Linked DNA regions of Canis lupus familiaris. The main gene of each other region encodes a partner of the protein of the gene in region 4 in a complex. Links are inferred from orthologs where the notes say so. Each region holds a gene or a part of one and is shown on either strand. Other genes may lie near its edges.

What was found.
Region 1: CHD5 (region 4) and MTA1 share a complex: the UniProt entries of both Homo sapiens proteins name them as parts of the nucleosome remodeling and deacetylase (NuRD) repressor complex. The link is inferred for Canis lupus familiaris from reciprocal best matches to the Homo sapiens genes CHD5 and MTA1.
Region 2: CHD5 (region 4) and MTA2 share a complex: the UniProt entries of both Homo sapiens proteins name them as parts of the nucleosome remodeling and deacetylase (NuRD) repressor complex. The link is inferred for Canis lupus familiaris from reciprocal best matches to the Homo sapiens genes CHD5 and MTA2.
Region 3: CHD5 (region 4) and CDK2AP2 share a complex: the UniProt entries of both Homo sapiens proteins name them as parts of the nucleosome remodeling and deacetylase (NuRD) repressor complex. The link is inferred for Canis lupus familiaris from reciprocal best matches to the Homo sapiens genes CHD5 and CDK2AP2.
Region 5: CHD5 (region 4) and MTA3 share a complex: the UniProt entries of both Homo sapiens proteins name them as parts of the nucleosome remodeling and deacetylase (NuRD) repressor complex. The link is inferred for Canis lupus familiaris from reciprocal best matches to the Homo sapiens genes CHD5 and MTA3.

What each region holds. Positions count from the first base shown.
Region 1 is NC_049229.1:73,167,745-73,171,257, reverse strand, and holds part of MTA1 (metastasis-associated protein MTA1), read right to left. Parts: intron 2,571-3,513; coding exon 2,453-2,570; intron 1-2,452. UniProt on the Homo sapiens protein: Transcriptional coregulator which can act as both a transcriptional corepressor and coactivator. Acts as a component of the histone deacetylase NuRD complex which participates in the remodeling of chromatin.
Region 2 is NC_049239.1:54,560,157-54,563,077, forward strand, and holds part of MTA2 (metastasis-associated protein MTA2), read left to right. Parts: exon of another isoform or gene 1-45; coding exon 46-163; exon of another isoform or gene 164-297; coding exon 298-361; exon of another isoform or gene 362-545; coding exon 546-663; exon of another isoform or gene 664-985; coding exon 986-1,088; exon of another isoform or gene 1,089-1,288; coding exon 1,289-1,388; exon of another isoform or gene 1,389-1,446; intron 1,447-1,530; coding exon 1,531-1,719; intron 1,720-1,828; coding exon 1,829-1,903; intron 1,904-1,963; exon of another isoform or gene 1,964-2,037; coding exon 2,038-2,096; exon of another isoform or gene 2,097-2,271; intron 2,272-2,287; coding exon 2,288-2,385; intron 2,386-2,523; coding exon 2,524-2,663; intron 2,664-2,921. UniProt on the Homo sapiens protein: May function as a transcriptional coregulator. Acts as a component of the histone deacetylase NuRD complex which participates in the remodeling of chromatin.
Region 3 is NC_049239.1:50,472,595-50,476,793, forward strand, and holds CDK2AP2 (cyclin-dependent kinase 2-associated protein 2), read left to right. Parts: upstream 1-1,493; 5' UTR 1,494-2,089; coding exon 2,090-2,171; intron 2,172-2,476; coding exon 2,477-2,577; intron 2,578-2,663; coding exon 2,664-2,796; intron 2,797-3,153; coding exon 3,154-3,221; 3' UTR 3,222-3,691; downstream 3,692-4,199. UniProt on the Homo sapiens protein: Acts as a component of the histone deacetylase NuRD complex which participates in the remodeling of chromatin.
Region 4 is NC_049226.1:60,557,552-60,561,064, reverse strand, and holds part of CHD5 (chromodomain-helicase-DNA-binding protein 5), read left to right. Parts: intron 1-2,999; coding exon 3,000-3,127; intron 3,128-3,513. UniProt on the Homo sapiens protein: ATP-dependent chromatin-remodeling factor that binds DNA through histones and regulates gene transcription. May specifically recognize and bind trimethylated 'Lys-27' (H3K27me3) and non-methylated 'Lys-4' of histone H3.
Region 5 is NC_049238.1:34,301,608-34,305,678, forward strand, and holds the start of MTA3 (metastasis-associated protein MTA3), read left to right. Parts: upstream 1-1,268; 5' UTR 1,269-1,328; coding exon 1,329-1,356; intron 1,357-3,021; coding exon 3,022-3,089; intron 3,090-4,071. UniProt on the Homo sapiens protein: Acts as a component of the histone deacetylase NuRD complex which participates in the remodeling of chromatin.

The DNA.
Region 1 (3,513 bases), on a different chromosome or scaffold from region 4:
CGGTGAGCCCAGGTGAGGCGGCAGCAGGCGTGCACGCACAGTTCCAGGCATACTCGGCTCGCAGCGGATTTTCACCTCTGCAAACACAGCAGCCCCCTCTTCCCCCCGCCGCCCCGGCCTGCCTGCTGGGGGCTGGCGGAGTCTGATGATAGGCTCAGGGGCCGGGGGAGCCCCGGGACGGCTTGGCCTGCCGTGGGCCCCGGGCGGCCAGGTGTGACAACGGGGGTGCCAGAGGCTGGCTCTGGCTTGGATCAGGCTCCTGAGGCAGAGGCAGCCCGGCAGCCCGGCAGCAGCAGTGCGCTCTGCGACCAGGACACGGGACAATGGCTGCATCCGGCGTGGGCATCTGCCCGCCGGGACCCCTCGCAGTGCCAAAGAGACCACAGTTCAGTTTATCCTCTTCCAGGAGGGCCACCACCCCCGGCCGCTCTTCAGCCTGCAGACGCCAGAGTCGGGGCTCGTTTGGGGGGCTGTGTCCTGCACAGCTGGGGGCAGAGCCCCACAATCCGGCAGGCACGACAGCTTCTGATGAAGCAAACTTGCTCCCAGAGGACAGGGCGGCCGGTCAGGGGACACCTGGGGAGAGCCCGCGCCCAGGGCAGCCAGCCAGCGTGTGCAGGACGCCCACGGCCACGCTGGCCAGCCCCCCGCGCCAAGGGCACGTCCTCAGGCAGCCCAGGCCCGCAGGCTGCACACCCGCAGGAGATCCACTCAGCTCCTGTGCTGCGGCGACAGCACGCTCCAGGCCAAGGGCGGGGACCCACACGGCGTGTCCCACTGGTCAGTGCCCAGCAGGCCGGCCAGGGAGCCTGTGCAAGCAGGTGGCTTGAGCGGGGCCGGTCACCAGAGACGCGTGTGCTCCCTCGCCTCGGGGAAGGTCGAGCCTCGCGGGCCCACCTGGGGTCACGGCAGGAGGGCCCCACACCGCAGGGGCGCGACGGTTATCCCTCCCGGTCGCCCCTGGAGCCTGCGGCACAGGCTGACTGCGGGTGGGACGTTCCTGGTCGTAGCCGGTGTCCCTCCTGGGGGGCCTCTGCCCTGAGGCCCCTCGCCAGGTGTCCAACCCCTCCCGGCCTCTGGAGTCTGAGGGCCATGGCCAGCACCAGCCACCGCCAGCACGTCTGTCCCGCCAGCCCAAGGGACCCTGCAGGCCCCCACGCTGCACCCACTTCAGTCTCCAGCGTATGAGTGGTGGGGCACAGTCCGTTCCCTGGGAGGGTCCCGGGCTCCAGGGGCCACCCTGTGCCCGCCCTGCTGCAGGTTCGCTCGACCAGGCCCGGGCCCCACACCCCGAGGCAGCCCTCACAGCCTCCTTGGGGCCGCAGCTCAAGGGTCTGAGGCGGCCGCTCGGAGGAGCCGAGGAGCCCTCTCCCTGGCACCAGGTCACTGCCCGGGAAACCGAGGCCCTCTGACGTTCGGGCCACTCTGGGTCCTCCTCTGGCCGTCACCAGACCTGTCACCCTCAGCCACGCAGGGAAGGCAGCCTGGCACCCGCCGCGGACCTGCCACTGTCGGATGGGCCAGCCGAGCCCCGAAGGACGCCTGGTCCCCGGCACCAACCACGCCCACAGCAAGGGGATGGGCCTTGCTTGCTCCTCAGAGGCCGCCAGGGGAGCCGGCGTGAGCAGGCAGGAGGAGCAGGTGCGCTCGGGGACCCCACGGGAGAAGAGCCAGAAGGGGGACGCAGGGCAGAGGGCCAGCGGGCCAGGAGGGCAGCCTCGCCACACACGGGACAGAGGGAACCTGCGTGCCTCCGGCGTGGCTCCTGCCCCGTCCTCATCTCCCACCGGCGGGACCACAGAGAGCCAACAAGCCAGCACGTGAGCCCATTAGCGTGACGGCGCACACGTGCCTGTGCATGTGGTGGTCACGCGGGCGCGGACAGGGCGGGGGGGCGGCACACAAGCCAACACCAGACCGGCCTCAGGGGGATGGAGCATCACGTCCAGGGAGATGCAGAGGCCACAGAAAAGGGAACCTGGGTGCTCAGGAACTGTCCTCGGATTAAAGCCAGGACCACAGACATCGGGAGGGAGGCCGGAGCCCGGGGCCCTGGGCTGGGCTGGCGGCCGGGCAGGCTCCACGGGAGCAGCTCAACGAGCAAAGACCTCAAGATCACCAGGGCCAGCGGGCCTATGTCGGGGTGACGAGGGTGGTCTCAGCAGCGGGGCGGCAGGGGCGGCGCCTGCACGCGCCACGCCCGGGCGCACTGAGCCACGTACAGGCTCCAGCTCCTGGGACCCAGCCCCAGCCCCAGCAGGTGGCTCCCAGCTGGAGGCAGGACGCACGGCTCCTCCGACCACGACCACGACCACGGCCACGGCGGGCTGCGCAGAGTCACCGGCAGCACCGCCCGGCGGCGGAAGTTGGCAGCACGGGCAGAGACTCATTCAACAAGTTTCTTTGGAGAAAAAGCTCAGCAGGGCGCCCGAAGGCCGCGGGGGGCGCCTACCTTCCTTCAGCAGGTCAGTGATGTCCGCCTGGTAGCGGTTTCCCACGCGGATCTCCCCCTTATCGGCCAGCAGGGTCTTCTGCTGGGGGTCGTAGACTAAAGAATAGAAGAAGAAATCCTGAAAGACAGCACACAGGACGGCGTCAGCAGGGCGCCCGCGGCCTCACTGAACCGCCGCAGGGACCCGGGCCCCGGCCAGCCCGACCGTGGGGGGTGGGGGGGGCGCTCGACAGCGACAAAAACGCTCCAGCGCGGCTCGGAGCGGCTGTCACGGGAGATGCCCACGCGGGGCCACAGAATGTTCCGGGCTCGATGCCCCGGGCTGCAGCGCAGCAGCCGCCCTGCGTTTCTCGCCCGTCCTGGGGGCACACCCGGCCCTCCTGACCCCAGCCCCGCACGGAGCTCTTAGAATCTGTGTTGAGCGGGTTGGGCTGTTCTCCCACGGCTGCAGGTCCAGGTCACGAGCGGAGCGCCCCCCGGAGGCGGGCGACCACACTTCCAGCGCCTCCTCCAAACGCCTGGCATCTCCGTCCGCCCTGCGGGATGGACTGTGGGCTTGGCCCCTCCCGGCGGCTGCTCCAGCTCCCGACCCCATGTCAAGCCATCGCGGGACCGCACCACCGGCTCTCCTCAAAGCCACGCCGCTCGCTTCTGCACGCCGTTCCCGGCCGCAGGCCAGGCTCCGCGCGGTGGGAGGGGCTGTGGCTGACAACGAGGCCGCCCCTCAGGCCTCCAGCCCCTGCAGGCCCCACCTGGCCCCCCAAGGCCCGCGTCCCCGCATCCCGAATGCAGGCTCCGCCCGGGCCATGCAGCTCCCCAGGGACACACGCGCTGTCTGGAGACATTTTCGGCTGTCACAACCGGGGGCGGCATCGGTGGGTCGTGTCCTACAAACGCATGCGGTCCCTGCTCCTGTGTGTGGGATGAAAAGGCTGGCTCCACGGCCCCGAGCCCCTGACAACTCGTGTTTTTGGTTTTAGACTCAGAAACCCTTCCCGCCGCCTGGGCGTCCTGGCTCCGGCCCCATACGGTGAGGGTCCGAGGTGCTGGCCTGCGGCGGG
Region 2 (2,921 bases), on a different chromosome or scaffold from region 4:
TCTGAATTAGTTTCTGACTTGGCTTCTTCCTCCTTCATCTCCCAGGGGAGTTTGAGGAGGAATCAAAGCAGCCAGGGGTGTCAGAGCAGCAGCGACATCAGCTGAAGCACCGGGAGCTTTTTCTTTCTCGGCAATTTGAATCCTTACCAGCCACCCACATACGGTATAGGACAATCAAGGCCACTGTGGCCTGTAGGCACTTCCGTAGAAGCTGGCAAGGGAGGGGGTGGTGTATTGGAGATGCTGTGGAGAGGCAGTGAGGAGCTCACCCGGGGTTTTCTGACTTCTCTTCTGTAGGGGGAAATGCAGTGTGACGCTCCTGAATGAGACTGACATCTTGAGCCAATACTTGGAAAAGGAGGTGAGAAAGAGGTGCTGGGAGAAGAAGGAGGGGGGTGGGTATGTCCCAAGGGGCTAGAGGAAAGTAGAACCATGATGAGGCACAGGTCAACTGGCTGACCGCCTGTCTTGGGAACTCTGGATCCTCCTCACCACCCCCAGCCTCTGAGGACTGCTGCCTGCTTACCCTTTCTTCCCATCTCCAGGACTGCTTTTTTTACTCACTGGTGTTTGACCCTGTGCAGAAGACACTTCTAGCTGATCAGGGAGAGATCAGAGTTGGTTGCAAATACCAAGCTGAGATACCAGATCGCTTGGCAGAGGGTAAGCGACAGACCAGACCAGTATGGCTACTGGGTTATCTAACATGGTAGTGTCTATGAATAGTATGCCGTGGAGTTTTACACTGTATAGTCTTCATGGCTCTCTGCTGTCACCCTGATAGGACAGGACCCTGGGAACCTGAGGCGGGCAGATGGGCACAGTTGGGAAGAGAAGTCTGAAAGTTGAGGTGGTGATAAAAATCCAAGCAGGATTTTATAAAATTTTATAAAATCCAAGGAGGAGCGAAGTGCTATTGTGAGTATCAAAATACTTACTATCCTCCTTTACCTTTCTCTGATGTTGCCGTCTCCCTGTTTCCAAGGAGAATCTGATAATCGGAACCAACAGAAGATGGAGATGAAGGTCTGGGACCCAGACAACCCTCTCACAGACCGGCAGATTGATCAGTTTCTCGTGGTGGCCCGGTGAGGGGTGGGTGGATGGGAAAGATGGGCTGGGGGTGGTGTGGACATCTTGCATCGAATTTGCAGAGGTGGACTTGATTGTTTTGGGGGGGAAGTGGGTTTTTTTTGGCAGGGGTGGCATGGGTGTTTTCCTTATTTGGCTTAGTTCCTCAGCCCAATCATGCCTTCTTTTCCTCTTGGCTTCTCCATCTCTCCCTCAGAGCTGTGGGCACCTTTGCAAGAGCCCTAGATTGTAGCAGTTCCATTCGGCAGCCAAGCCTGCACATGAGTGCAGCTGCAGCTTCCCGAGATATCACCTTGGTGAGCAGATGTGGCTGGGCAGTTGGGCAGGCTGGGCTCTGTGGGGGACCTGCAGAGCCTGGGGACAAGAGAGGAGGGGTCTCTGAGGCTGTGGTGTTGGAGGGGCTCAGGCCATCAGCATTGTTTCCTATCTTCCTTGTAGTTCCATGCAATGGATACGTTGCAGAGGAACGGCTATGACTTGGCTAAAGCCATGTCGACCCTGGTACCCCAGGGGGGCCCGGTGCTGTGTCGGGATGAGATGGAGGAATGGTCTGCTTCAGAGGCTATGCTGTTTGAGGAGGCCCTGGAGAAGTATGGGAAGGATTTTAATGATATTCGCCAGGACTTTGTAAGTGGATGGGGCTGGGAGGAGAAGTGGAAGAGATTGTCGTCTCTGGTAAGGGAACCAGGACCTGGGACCAGATGCCAGCTCTGCTTTCTTCCCTCTGCCTCCTTAGCTGCCTTGGAAGTCACTTGCCAGCATAGTCCAGTTTTACTACATGTGGAAAACCACAGACCGCTATATTCAGCAGGTATGGGCTGGGCTGGGCAGGGCAGGGCAGGGCAGACTGGACCAGGGACCTCCTTCTCACCTCTGCCTTTGGGAGTTGATGACATCCTCCTGCAGAGATACTTTGATCTTTCTTTTTTTTTCCCCTTCCTGCAGAAAAGATTGAAAGCTGCTGAAGCAGACAGCAAACTAAAACAAGTCTATATCCCCACCTAGTAAGTGTGGTAGGTGGGGGAGGTTTGCATGTTTTCTTTTTCTCCCTCCATCTCCCCCAACTCATGCTTTGCTCAGTGACTGGCAGTGGGCAGGAGTCAGGATCAAAGAGTCAAATGTTGATAGAGATGAGATGGAAATGGATTCTCTACCTTGACCAGTTCCTGGTTTCTCCCCACACTGTTCCCATTAGTACTAAGCCAAATCCTAACCAGATCATCTCTGTGGGCTCGAAACCTGGCATGAATGGGGCTGGATTCCAGAAGGGCCTGACCTGTGAGAGCTGCCACAGTGAGTTCCATGGGAGGATTGGGATGTTGTGGGTGGGGGGGGGGGGGGGGGAGGTGAGGTCCTCTCTGGCCCAAGGACCTGAGGGACTCTCGTGTAGTATTTTTCCCACACTGCCCCCTTCTCTCCATGCTCCTACAGCCACACAGTCTGCCCAGTGGTATGCCTGGGGCCCACCCAACATGCAGTGCCGCCTCTGTGCTTCTTGTTGGATCTACTGGAAGAAATATGGGGGACTGAAGACCCCGACCCAGCTTGAGGGGGCTGCTCGGGGCACAACAGTAAGGAGTGGTGGGGAACAGGCAGGGCAGAGCAGTAAACATATCGATGTGAGCTTTAGGGGAAGGCCAGAGCACCCAACCCCTTCCATGGTGATGGTTTGATGTGGGTATGGGTGGGGAGGGGGTGCCCCGTGATGGTTGGAGACTGGTAGGTTGGGATGGTGATAAAGAGTTCAGGCAGGAGGGATGCCTGGGTGACTCAGTGGTTGAGCGTCTGCCTTTGGCTCAGGGTGTGATCCCGGGATCGAGTACCACATC
Region 3 (4,199 bases), on a different chromosome or scaffold from region 4:
TAGCCTCCTCCACATGCTTACCTGTCACTACTTATTCCAACAATAAGAAATCATCCATCCTGACTTAACTGTCAATTCTAGTGTACATGTGCTGTGGCTTCACAATTGTTAACCCATACTGCCACAGAAAACCGCTTCATCAACTAAAGTTGATGCTTACCCGCAGCTCCTTTACATTCACTTACAGACTCCGCCCATTTCCAGATTAGCACCTTACTCCCCCACCCCTTTAGTGAGGCTGTCTCAATCCTACCATACAAAATAACTTCACTGCCTTAAAAAAAAAAAAAAAAAAAAAAAAAAATCCCCGATGTCACTCATTTAACTCTACCCCTCACCACCCCCGGCACCCAGTAATCTGTTTACCTCATGTATGAGTTTGTCTTTTCCAGAATGTCATACAATTGGAACCATACAGCGCATAGCTTTTTCAGACTGGCTTCTTTCGCTTAGAAATATGCCTACCTGTGTCTTTTCAGAGCTAGATAGATGATTTCCTTTTATTGCTGAATAAATAGTCCCTTATACGGATATATCACAGTTTGTTCATTCGCCAATTGAAAGCTGCCTCCTCTGCAAAGACTCCTGTGATGTCACCAAGCAGGCTCCTTCCTCTTAGTTCCAATGCATCCTGTATACCAGTCTCCACATTGTCTTATTGTGCTGTGTGCCTTTGCTTTCCTGTCTGTCTCTCCTTGAGACCAGGAGCTCCTTGAGGAGAGAAGCCACGGCCAGTTCATTTCCATATCATCAGTGTCCCGCACAAGGATGGAGGATGGAGTCAGAAAATGCCTGTTGGATGAATGGACGAATGAATGAAATGTCACGGAGAGGAGGAAAATCTACAGACCTGGGGCATGAAGAATACACAAGGCCAGAATAGTTTTGAGGCGAAGTAGCCCAAGAGAAAGGGTTAGTGTTCGGAGGAAAGTCTAAGATCTAGGGTGGTGAGGAATGAAATTTGAGGGGAGGGGTCTGGATGCAGAAATGGAAAGAAAAGAGGACAATGAAACAAGCTCCTTATGAATATTCATTTATCCACACAACCCTGTAAGACAGTTATTACTAACGTCCGCATCTTTACGATGGGGAAACCCAAACATACTAGGGTAACTTGCCCAAGGGGAAATCGCTGGTGCGGTGGGGTGAGATTCGAACCATCAGCCTCGCTCCACTTGGTGCTCTCACCCAAGATCGGTTTGGTACAGGGCCCGGCGAGCGGCGAGAATTCAACGAAGGCGAGATGATCCTGCTGTTGCCAGTAGGAGGCCCAGGCTCGGAGTCTTGGAGGACTGGCTGAGGGGTCTTTGAGGCCGCCCTCGGACCTAACACGAGCTTAGACCAAAGGACGAGGCAAACCCGAGAGGCGCGGAGGCAGCGTCGATGAGGGACCCGTTGCCATAGGAACAAACGGAAGCTTTAGGAGGGCGCATGCGCAGGCCGGGGAAAGGGTGTGGAGCCGGCGAAAGGTGACGTAAAAGCGCACGGGGTGAGACGCAGGGCTCCGCACGTCAAAGCCCTGCGTCCTCCGGCATTCAGTGCAGTGGAAAGGCGCGCGCGGTGCTGGCGCCGGCAGTGATAGCAGCCCCAACTGGACCGAGAGCAGGCGGTGCGGAGCTGACGTGCAGAGCAGCGCCAGTGAAGCGTGAAGGCGGCGCCCGCGCCGGGAAGACCCCTCCGCGCAAAACGCGGCCGACCGGACCCGGGTCCCGGCTTCCAAGGCCCCGCCTCTCGGGCCTTGGGACTAATCGGATTGAGAGCGCGCCGGCCCGGACCCCGAACTCGCCAATTGCGTAGGGCGTCAGCTACCGCCCAATCCGGAGCAGACAGGTGCGAGGTCCGAAAGGCGGAGACCAATCAGCAGCGGTTGCGGCCTGTTGGGGCCGATCTCTGCCAATGAGGAGGCCCGAGTGACATCCGCGCACACCAATCGGGAGTGAGAGAGCGTTCGTGCCCGCCCGCCCTTCCGGCCTGAGCTCTATTTACCAGGGGCGTGCGGCCGGTTTACCAATCAGAGCGCGGCTGAGCGGCCGAGCAGCCAACCCCGGAGGAGCGGCCGGCCGGCGTCCGCCGCACCCGAGAGTTGGGGATGTCCTACAAACCCATCGCCCCCGCCCCCAGCAGCACCCCCGGCTCCAGCACCCCTGGGCCCGGCACCCCGGTCCCCACAGGTGAGGATCCGACTCTACCCCTGCTCGCCTGCCCGGGTGGTCGAGGTCTCGAGAACACGGCCCGAGTTCTGCAACACTGGGCCTGCTGCCTCCCCTCTCTGAGCCTCAGTTTGCTGGCCTGTGAAGTGGGCGTGGTCACGTAAGGGCTAGTTGGTGGAGCGCAGGGGGAGGGGTTTGTCGCTGAAGTTGAGCGCCTGGAGCGAAGTATCCCTTTGGAGGGAAGCGGGCGAATCCGGTCGGGGGCTTGGAACGCTGGGAGGCCGGGTCCCGGCCCCGCGCTGACCTATTACTCGCGCATGTTGCAGCCGGAAGTGTCCCATCGCCGTCGGGCTCAGTGCCGGGAGCCGCTGCCCCTTTCAGGCCCCTGTTTAACGACTTTGGACCGCCCTCCATGGGCTATGTACAGGTGAGTGGGGTGAGGGATTGCCTACGGACGGGGACTGGAGGTCCCCGCGGGCCCTGAGCTCATGGCCCTGTCCTCTTTTGACATAGGCAATGAAGCCACCTGGCGCCCAGGGCTCCCAGAGCACCTACACGGACCTGCTGTCGGTCATAGAGGAGATGGGTAAAGAGATCCGGCCCACCTATGCTGGCAGCAAGAGCGCCATGGAGCGCCTGAAGAGAGGTAAGTGAGGCTTCCACCCTCCCTGCTCAGGAGACTAACACTGGACAATCCTTCCTTAGCAAAGGAAGGACATCTGGAGGCCGCGTGACCCAAGCCTAAACAAGGGTGGGTGTCACTTTCCAGGGAGGTGTTTTGAATTGAATTGAAATTGAGTCCGTTTGGGGGGAAGGACCAGGGCATTTGTCTTTCAAAAGGACAAATTTGAGGATTAGCCAAATCGTTAATCTCATCAGGCCCTTTATCATCCTCCTCCCTTTCACTGGAAGGAAAGGGGGTGGGGAAGGAGGGTCTTCCTCTGGAGGATGAGGGTGGGACCCTGCAGGGTCGCTGCATGTTACTTGCCCATTCCCACCTCAGGCATCATCCATGCCCGGGCCCTAGTCAGAGAGTGCCTGGCAGAGACAGAGCGGAACGCCCGCACGTAACAGGACGCAATTCCACCGCCGAGTCTGGACCTTTCCTGGCCACTGCAGAGCACCTGCTTCTCCCTGGCCTTCACCCCGAGTTGCACTTCCCAACCTGGGCTTCCTGTCCTGTGTCCCCTGGTGGGTGCCCTCCAGGAACCAGGGGGCGGCTCTCACTCCAGCCGACAACACTTGACTGGGACTCTTTCAAGAGTTAGCAGCGAGGTCACTGTGAGTCCCGCCCATGACCTGCCAACAGTGTTGATCCAACTGGAGCTTGCTCCTTTCTGTGGCCCCCACCACTCAGCACTTACCCAGGACTTGTCACCACCTTTCCTAGACTCCTCCCCTAGCAAGGCCTCCCTAGGCCTGTCACCTCCCTGCCTTGTCTCCTGGGCCATAGCGACTCTTTTTTCAGTCAGTGTCTTTTGCTAAATATGCCCTTTTTGTATAAATAAAAGATAATTTGGAGTTGTTCTCTCACCTCTTAATCTTTCTGAGTGTGGTGCTTCTGCTGAGCCAGGAAGAAATTGGAAAAGAGGAGATCGAGGAGGGGAGAGGGGCAATGCAGTGGTGGGAGACAGGGCCACTGAACCTGGCCTGGCCTGGCTCCTACTGTCCATTGACTTGGCTGGGACCCTGCCCTCCTCCAGCCCTGGGCCTTCACAGTTCTGAGTCTTGAAAAGGCTTAAGCTCCAGTAGCTGTGAGCCCTACCCTCCTACACGTGGTGCCACCAGGGGGCAGCCTGGAGCTTTAGCCGCCTCCACAGCTGGAGGGCACTGTCGCCAGCCCGGGCCTAGAGGGTTCTTTCTCTGGATTGGCAGTCAGTGCCTGGCAGGGTGGAAATGTCAGTTCATATAAGCCAGGCCCTCACGTGTCTTAATTTTCTAAAATCTTAACCTCCCAGTCAACCCTGGAAGGTTCTGAACACGTCCTGACTTCTCAGAGGAGAGGGGGCACTGCTGCTGCTTTTCTCCAGCACCTGAGAAGCAGAGCCA
Region 4 (3,513 bases):
GTGGTCTTTCCTGGGGCCCTCACCCAGGGTGAGTGGGATCCCCCCTTACCACTAACTGTGCCTTGAGGGGGGCCCGGGGCTGGGGGCTTGGGGAGCAGCCAAGGGGCACCAGGCAGGGTTGCTTAGCTATGACTTTCGAGGTCTGGTTTTAGAAAACTCAGAGGCTGTTACAGGAGATGTAGGAGGGGGAGATGGGGCCAGGGTGGAGATGGTGTAGGGAATCATGAGGTGTTGGGAAGGAGTGTCACAGGGCTCAGTCCTGGGATGTCCTCAGGGCTACCAGAATCTGTTCAGGAACCAGAAGGGTCTGTCAGAGATGGGGAGTGGACGGGGTGGGGTCCCTATCCTAGTGTGCCAGCTCTGGAAACTTCCTGGAGGAGGGATTTAATCAGGCAGATGGCCCTGAGCCACGAGGTCTTCTGGGAATGGAGGAGGGGCTCTGTCTCTGGGCAGAGGGTCTGGGATCTTATCCTCTGAGGATCGTTCTGGGCGTGGATTAGGGCTACCCTGTGGGGCACCCCCTGGCCCCGTACCCTCCGCCCCAGGCAGATATCCTCCTGCAGCCACCTGTTCATCCCCTCTGTGTTCTGATGGCCAGTTGGTCAGTCAGTGACCTTGTGCTCAGCTGGCCTTCCCAATTTGGGGGACTGCCCTGCCAAGGGAACGGGTGACTTGGGGGAGGTGGCAGGAGGGAGATGGCCCCTCCCGATTGCATCAGCCCGAGCTTCTTACATAACTGGTGCTGGGCATTGCTGGGGTACAGGGGTGGCTCTGCCCAGGCAGTCTCCCTGTGGCTCTAGGGGAGGTAGGGGCAGGTGTGGGGGTGAGCAGGTGTGGACAGACAGCTCTGTCACTACCTCCAGACCCCAGGATGACTCTGGGGGGGTCTCTGTGCACATAATTCAACTGGTTCAAAAAATCCATGCCCCTCTGGTGCCAGGGCCAAGAGGGACAGGATGGGACAGGGTCAACTTGTGCAGCTCTGCCTCAGCCTGGCTCCGCTCAAGACCTGGCCCACATTAAACTCCGCTTTGGGCTGACCCGCCACTGCTTGGCCCTGTGTGCTATAGCCCTGGCCAAGCCCTGGCAGCTGTGTCCCCCTGTGCCAGCCAGGACCATGAAGTTGGCCCTCCGGGGACAGCCAGCACTCTGGCCACCTTCTCTGCAGCAGCTCCCAGTCCTGCAGGGAGTCTCTCTCCATACCTATGTTTGCCCAGGAGGATGGGGAGTGCTCTGGGGCTCCAGTGTGCCCTGCTGCCTTCCTCCATGGACTCCTGGTGGGGGAGGGCTCTATAATACGGTGACCCGGACCTGCTAGAGGGGGGCCTCAGGACTGAGGGGTGCCCAGACAGTGGTGCAACCTGCACCTGCCCCTGGTAGGGACCAGCCCTGTAAGGCACTAGGGTAGGAGGCCTTGCACTTGGCCACTGGAGTCACCAGCGCCCTCTAGCTGCACCCAGAGGGTGGCGATGGGAGCCATAGGACCTGGGGGACTCTAGGGGACAGGGGTCCAAGGCGGGGGGTGGGGGGGCCCTGTTTGGAGGACAGGTGTGTCCATGTATGTCAGGGGATGTCTGCACTGTGATGTGCAGCTCACATGATCATTGACCACGATATGTGGTGGTAGGCTTCCTGGGGAGGGTGATGGGAGCTTTGTTTCTTTTAACTTGATTCAGTGGGGACACTGCGCCCTTCCCCAGTGAAAGTCTCCTGGGCACCCTCCTCAGGGGCACAGGGTGGCACACCCAATCAGGCTGAGATTCCCTGTTGTGTGTCCCCTCAACCCCTGTGGGGGTGGATCCCCAGTTGGTTCTTCTCTGCTCCCCTGGGTGCAGGGGCATGGGGTAGGACAGCCTGACTGTGGGTGCTCAGGGCCCATGGCTGGCATGGAGCGCTGATCTCTGATGGGCCCCTTTTGTGGACCTGGGAGGTTTGGTGGCTTTCTTCTGGATGGATCTCTGCTCTGGAGGACCCTCCCCACTCTCCCCTTCTTCCTCATCTAACACCACCCCCACCCCCAGGAACTTAGGGCTGGCTGCCCTTTCTCATTTCTGATTTCCTGAGTGGGAGCTAGGCCCCAGGGCCACATGTCAAGCCCCCTCCTTTTTGGAGGGGGGAGTAACATGAAGCTTGAAGCCAGCTGCACACTCACACCTGTCCCGCTCCCCTCTTGGCCTTTTAAATTCATGGAGGAGGGAGGGGAGCTCGGAAATCGTGGCTGCTTTTGGAAAACCCACGTGTGGCGGATGCAGCATCTCTCTGAATTTCACATCTTCCAGGGTGCCCAGCCGGAATGGGTTTGGCATCCTGCATGTGTGACTGGGGGTGCGTGTACTGTGTGGGTGTGTGTGCGGGTTTGGGCGGGAGAGGCAATGTGGTCTCTGATCCTCATTAAGGGGGAACCTGGCATCCTCTTCCTTGATCTCCCTCCAAAGCCCTCAAGGACCTTGCTTGTGGCTCTAGGTGGTCCTGGGGTGATGTGACCCGTGCATCCCCATTAGCCTTGCATTCACAGGCCATTTCCCAGCCACACCATGGGCAGAGGGCAGAAATAGGCCCTGACCCCTCCCTGGAGCCACCCAGAGATGGCTTCATGACTCTGTGGGGCTGCTTCCATCCTGGGGGAGTCATGCCAATGAGGATTCTTAATTAGCTGCTCATTTTTGCTCAGAACATTGTTGCTGAGCTCTATCTTGTCAGGGTGGGTGGTTATTGTCCATTTTACAGTGAAGAGAGGAAAGGTCTAGAGAAGTGGGGACTTGTGACACAGCCCGCCTGATATGGGACTCTACTCATTGGGTCTGGTCTGGTGGCTCTGAGGGCTTGGTAGGAGGCTGGGGCAGGCAGAGGCACTGTCCGCTGGGAAGGGGTGGCGACCGAGGTGGCAGGTGGATGCCTGTGGAGCTGGCTGACCCTCTGGGCCCTGCCTCTGCCTTTGTGTCTCTGGGGGCTCCCCGAGGGGAGCGCAGAGTAATCCCCTCCCACTCTGACTCCTCCAGAAGAAGAAGATGGTGGCCTTGGAGGCTTTGATGACTATTTCCCTGAGGAGCCTGTGGGCCTTCCCAAGAAGAAGAAATCCAAGAAGCTCAAGGAGAACAGGTCCAAAGGGAAGCGGAAGAAGAAAGAGGTGCGTGGGGTGCCCTGCTGGGGTCGGGCCAGCTGGCGGGTGGGTCCGGGCTCCAAGGGGTCTCGGCTACTCTGTCGAGGCCTGTGGAGAAAGATCTCAGCTGGGTTTGAGTGCGAGATGCCAAAAGCAGCGTGTCCTTTGTGGGTTGGATCTGAAATGCCCTGACCTCTTAAGCAGGATGCTCCAAGGTCATTTATCTTTATGCCACAGAACGTAGATCGTTTGGGACTGACAGGATCCTGGGATGCAGGGACAGACCTCCTGGTTGAGGCATTGACATGTCCCCAACCCCCAAGACCTGAGGCTCTGTGGATGTTGTGGGCAGAGAAGGGGTGGTGCTCGTGCCATGCCGAGGGCAGGAGCTTTGCCCCCGCCCCCCCTTCTGG
Region 5 (4,071 bases), on a different chromosome or scaffold from region 4:
TGTCTGGAAGTAGTTTGGAATGGATTGGCTTTTTATTTTTTCAATTTAAAACAAATTTTTATCAAGGTTTATTTGAGAGAGCACTTGGAGGAGAGGCAGAGCGACAGGGAGAGAGAATCCCAAGCAGACTCCTCACTGAGCATGGGGGGGGGTGTGTGTGTGTGCCTGGACACCGCCTCCAGATAATGACCTGAGCCAAAATCAAGAGTCAGGTGCTGCTGGCTTTTTAAAAAGTTGTTTGCATTCATTTGGGGGATTGCCAGCTAAGATTCAATTCAATTTGTTTTTTTGCTTGTTTCTGTGAGGGAATGGAGGCTGAGAATGCTGGGATTGCCTAGAGAATTGGCATGGGAAAATAATGATTCAAAAGCATTAGGCACATAACTAGTTAAAAGTCCATCAACAGTAAGGGGACTGAAACCATCTCCCCCTTTGTGGAGAGGGGGTGGGAATGGCGAATAAGTAGGGTCCCTTTCCTAAGGGCCTCTTTTCCTGGCAGGGCGGCACTGGATATAGGGTCTGTCTAGAGGCCAGGCCTCCGCTGGGAGTGGGTTCTGTTCAGCCCACGCGTGGGGTGAACTTGATAGACCTGTCAATGCAGTTGGGGTGACTTGGGAGGGGGTCAGTGTTTTTGGACTTCTCTCCAGCTAGCACGCTCCCTGGGGAAGCTGGTAGCACCAGGGTCCTCCTGGCCCCAAGGTATGCGGGTTCCATCACCACCATGAGGCAGGCGCTCTGCTGGGCGCACTTATTTGTTTCCAAGTGTTTGCCCTGAGGCAGGCGCCCACGTGCTCAAGGTCTTGCATACAAGGGCTCCCCAGGGACGCAGCAAGGAGGAAGACCTGTCTGCGGGTGGCCAGGTGACAGGGTACGGTGGCTGGGGCTGTGTGGGCTCGGGAGAGCCTGAGCCCCTGCCCCCACCCCAATTCTCCCACCGCTCCAGGTCCGCATTTGCCACTGCAGGCCTCCGCTTCGGCCACGACCCTTGCCCTGGGGTCGCCCACCTCCGGCGAGGGCCCCCAAGCCGCCGCCTCCCCAGGTCCCCGCGGGCCCCGCAGCGACCTCCCCCGGCCCGGCCCGGCCCGGCCCGCTCGGCCCGGCTGGCCCGTCGCTGGGGGCGGGAACCTGCCCCCACCCCGCGGCGTCCCCTCCCCTTCGCTTCCCCCTCCCCTCCCCTCGGTGCCTCCCTCCCCTCCCCCCCGCGGCGAGGCGGCGGCGGCGGCGGCGGCGGCGGCGGCGGCCGAGGCTGAGGCGGCCGAGGCTGAGGCGGCGGCGGCGCGGCGCGGCGGGCGGGGCTCGGCTCGGGCTCCGCGGGCGGGCGGGCGGACATGGCGGCCAACATGTACCGGGTCGGAGGTAGGAAGGCTCGGCCCGACCCGGCCCGTCTGGGAGCGGGCTCCGGGAGTGGGGGGTCGGGGCGAGTTCACCCTAACCGCCGGGGGCCGCGGGCGCGGGGGGCAGGGGCGCCGGGGCCCGCAGGAGGGGCCGGGGCTCCCCACCCGCGCCACCCGCGCCACCCGCCCCTCCCCCGGCCGTGGCCCGCCGGGGGCCGGCGCCCACCTTCCCCCTCGCTCGCACCCCCGCTCAGTTTTCTAGGGCCGGCCGGGCCTGTACTTGGGGGTGTGAATTCTCAGCTGCCCCCCTCCGAGACGCCCCCATTGGGTGTCGGCCGTCGAGCCCCCAGTGGGGTGCTCTTTCCCTGCGTGGCTTCCAGGCAGTGGGGGGGTTGGAGAGGATGGGGGGACGCCCCCCCGCTCTACTCCTTCACCCCTTCAGTTGGGAGCGGGGGGTGGGGGCGATGGGGGCTCAGCCAGGCACAGCTGGACAGGCCTGTTGGCGGGGATAGGGCCCTTCACCTCTCCTTCCTCACTCCCCCCTCCCGTTTCTTGCCCAGCCCCCCCAAGATGGGGCGTAGTGGGGCCAGGGCACCGCGGCCAGAGGTGGGGAGTTGAGCTCTGCCCGGACGTTTGCTCTGGTGACTGCCTTCTCAGCCCTCTGCAGAAAAGAGAAATAAGGTCAAACAAACTTTCTCCCTACTCACGACGCCCTCCTCCCTCTTTCTTGGTAGAATAATAATTCAGATAAGTGGCGTGTTTGTGTGTGAGACTTGGTCTTCTCTGCTCATTAGCTGAGCTCCTGATGGATGGTAGTGGGAATGGCCTGGCCAAATGAGGCCACTTTGCAGAAGAGAGACGACGGAAAGAGCCACTAAGATAGACAATAACAATGCAGCCCAGCCTTTCAAATAAACACACAGTGGGAAGTTTCCAGTGAGCCTATTACAGGAGAGGAAAAGCCACACTTGAAAATTTTTATCTTTTTTATTGAAAGCCTGCGGTGATTTTTTTTTTTATAACAAGACCCCAAATGGATCTGTATTAAATATGGTAAAGAGCATAACAAAATCCTGATAACCATCTCCAGAGAGCTCTGTCTCTCAGAAAGGGAATCCCCTTTCATGCCCCCCCCCCCCCCCCCAATCATCCCAGATAGAGCTGTGGAAGTTTGTCAGTGTGCTTCCTCTTACCTATTCTGCTCACCTGATTTTTTTTTTTTTTTAAGTTGGTGATTGAAATGTACTTTGGGCTGCTAAGCTTTTCAAGATGCTCTGAATTTGTCTTAGGTCAATAGTTTTATGTGAGAAGCATACTCCAGGGTAAATTGGATTGGAGGGGAAAGATGTGGAAGCAGTTATAGCATGAAAGACACATGTTTAGTCAGCCCTGACTACTCGGTGATGAGGAGTCTTTTTGTTTATTATTAAAGAAGTGATGTGTGGCATGAAAGGCTCAGAGAGCTTGATAAAACATTAATTGTTAAATGAAAATTTCAGGAAAATAAGGGTCTGTGAATAGTAGGCATGAGAAAATATATTAAGGTTGTATTGCTAAATTTGCTTTTAACCGGGAATGAATTATGTGCTTCATTTTGAATGTGCATTGCCTAATATAGAAAGTCATAGATTGACAAATGTGAACTTTCTGTTGAAAAGATTAAGGTCTTTACTTCCTTTAATTACAGATTATGTCTACTTTGAGAATTCCTCCAGTAACCCGTACCTAATCAGAAGGATAGAAGAACTCAACAAGGTATAAACGCTAAGTGTTCTTGATTCTAATATTAAAAAAAAATTGTTTTCCATTGACGAGTAATTAGGTAAAGGGCATAAGAGGTGATTTTACTTTCAGTCCTGGACTCTTTGAAACTAGAGATTGAAGATTAGAGAGTTATGCAGGATTCTGAATATTCTTTTGCTTTTATAATTACCTATGATATTAAATGTTACTGAATATTTAACATCTGCAGATTTCTGGGATGCCTGGGCTCAGTGGTTGAGCATCTGCCTTTGGCTCGGGGCGTGATCCCAGAGTCCCAGGATCAAGTCCCACATCGTGCTTCCTGCATGGAGCCTGCTTCTCCCTCTGCCTACATCTCTGCCTGTCTGTGTGTCTCTCATGAATAAATAAATAAAATCTTAAAAAAAAAAATCTGCAGATTTCTTCACGTTGCTCAGATCTTCTCGGAGCAGGTCACTCTTGTAACTGTCCCTTTTTATATTTAGAGTCATAATTGTATTTCTTTCAGGGAATTATTTTTTCCTCTTTCAGCTTTAGAAAGAGGAAGCTAGGAAATGTAGTATTGAAGCGAATTTGTAAAATTTTGGACTAGGTCAACTAATAAGAATACAGTTTTGTTATAATGTAAAGTAGCTTCCTACTTTAGGCCTGACAGCAGAAGCTTTGTGACTGTTTGCAATAGGTGAGCTTATTATAATGGTAGCATATGAAAAGCCATAAACTATATGAACCATGGATTACTAATGGTGCTCTGGTTTCCTCCAAACCAACTTTGAAGATTATTTGTTTTACTTATGAGAGTTCATAGTGTTAAAATGTCGGAAGCTGTCTTGCTAATACCTTTCCTCCAAAGTACCTTCTAGAGACTGGGGAAGTTCTGAGTCCCAGGATGTAAGATTTGGTTTAGGGCATTTCTGGTTTATGAACCCTGAGATCTTGGTTTGCTTCTGGAGACATCCCCATGGACCTTACATCTATAAAAATTCTGTTGTAG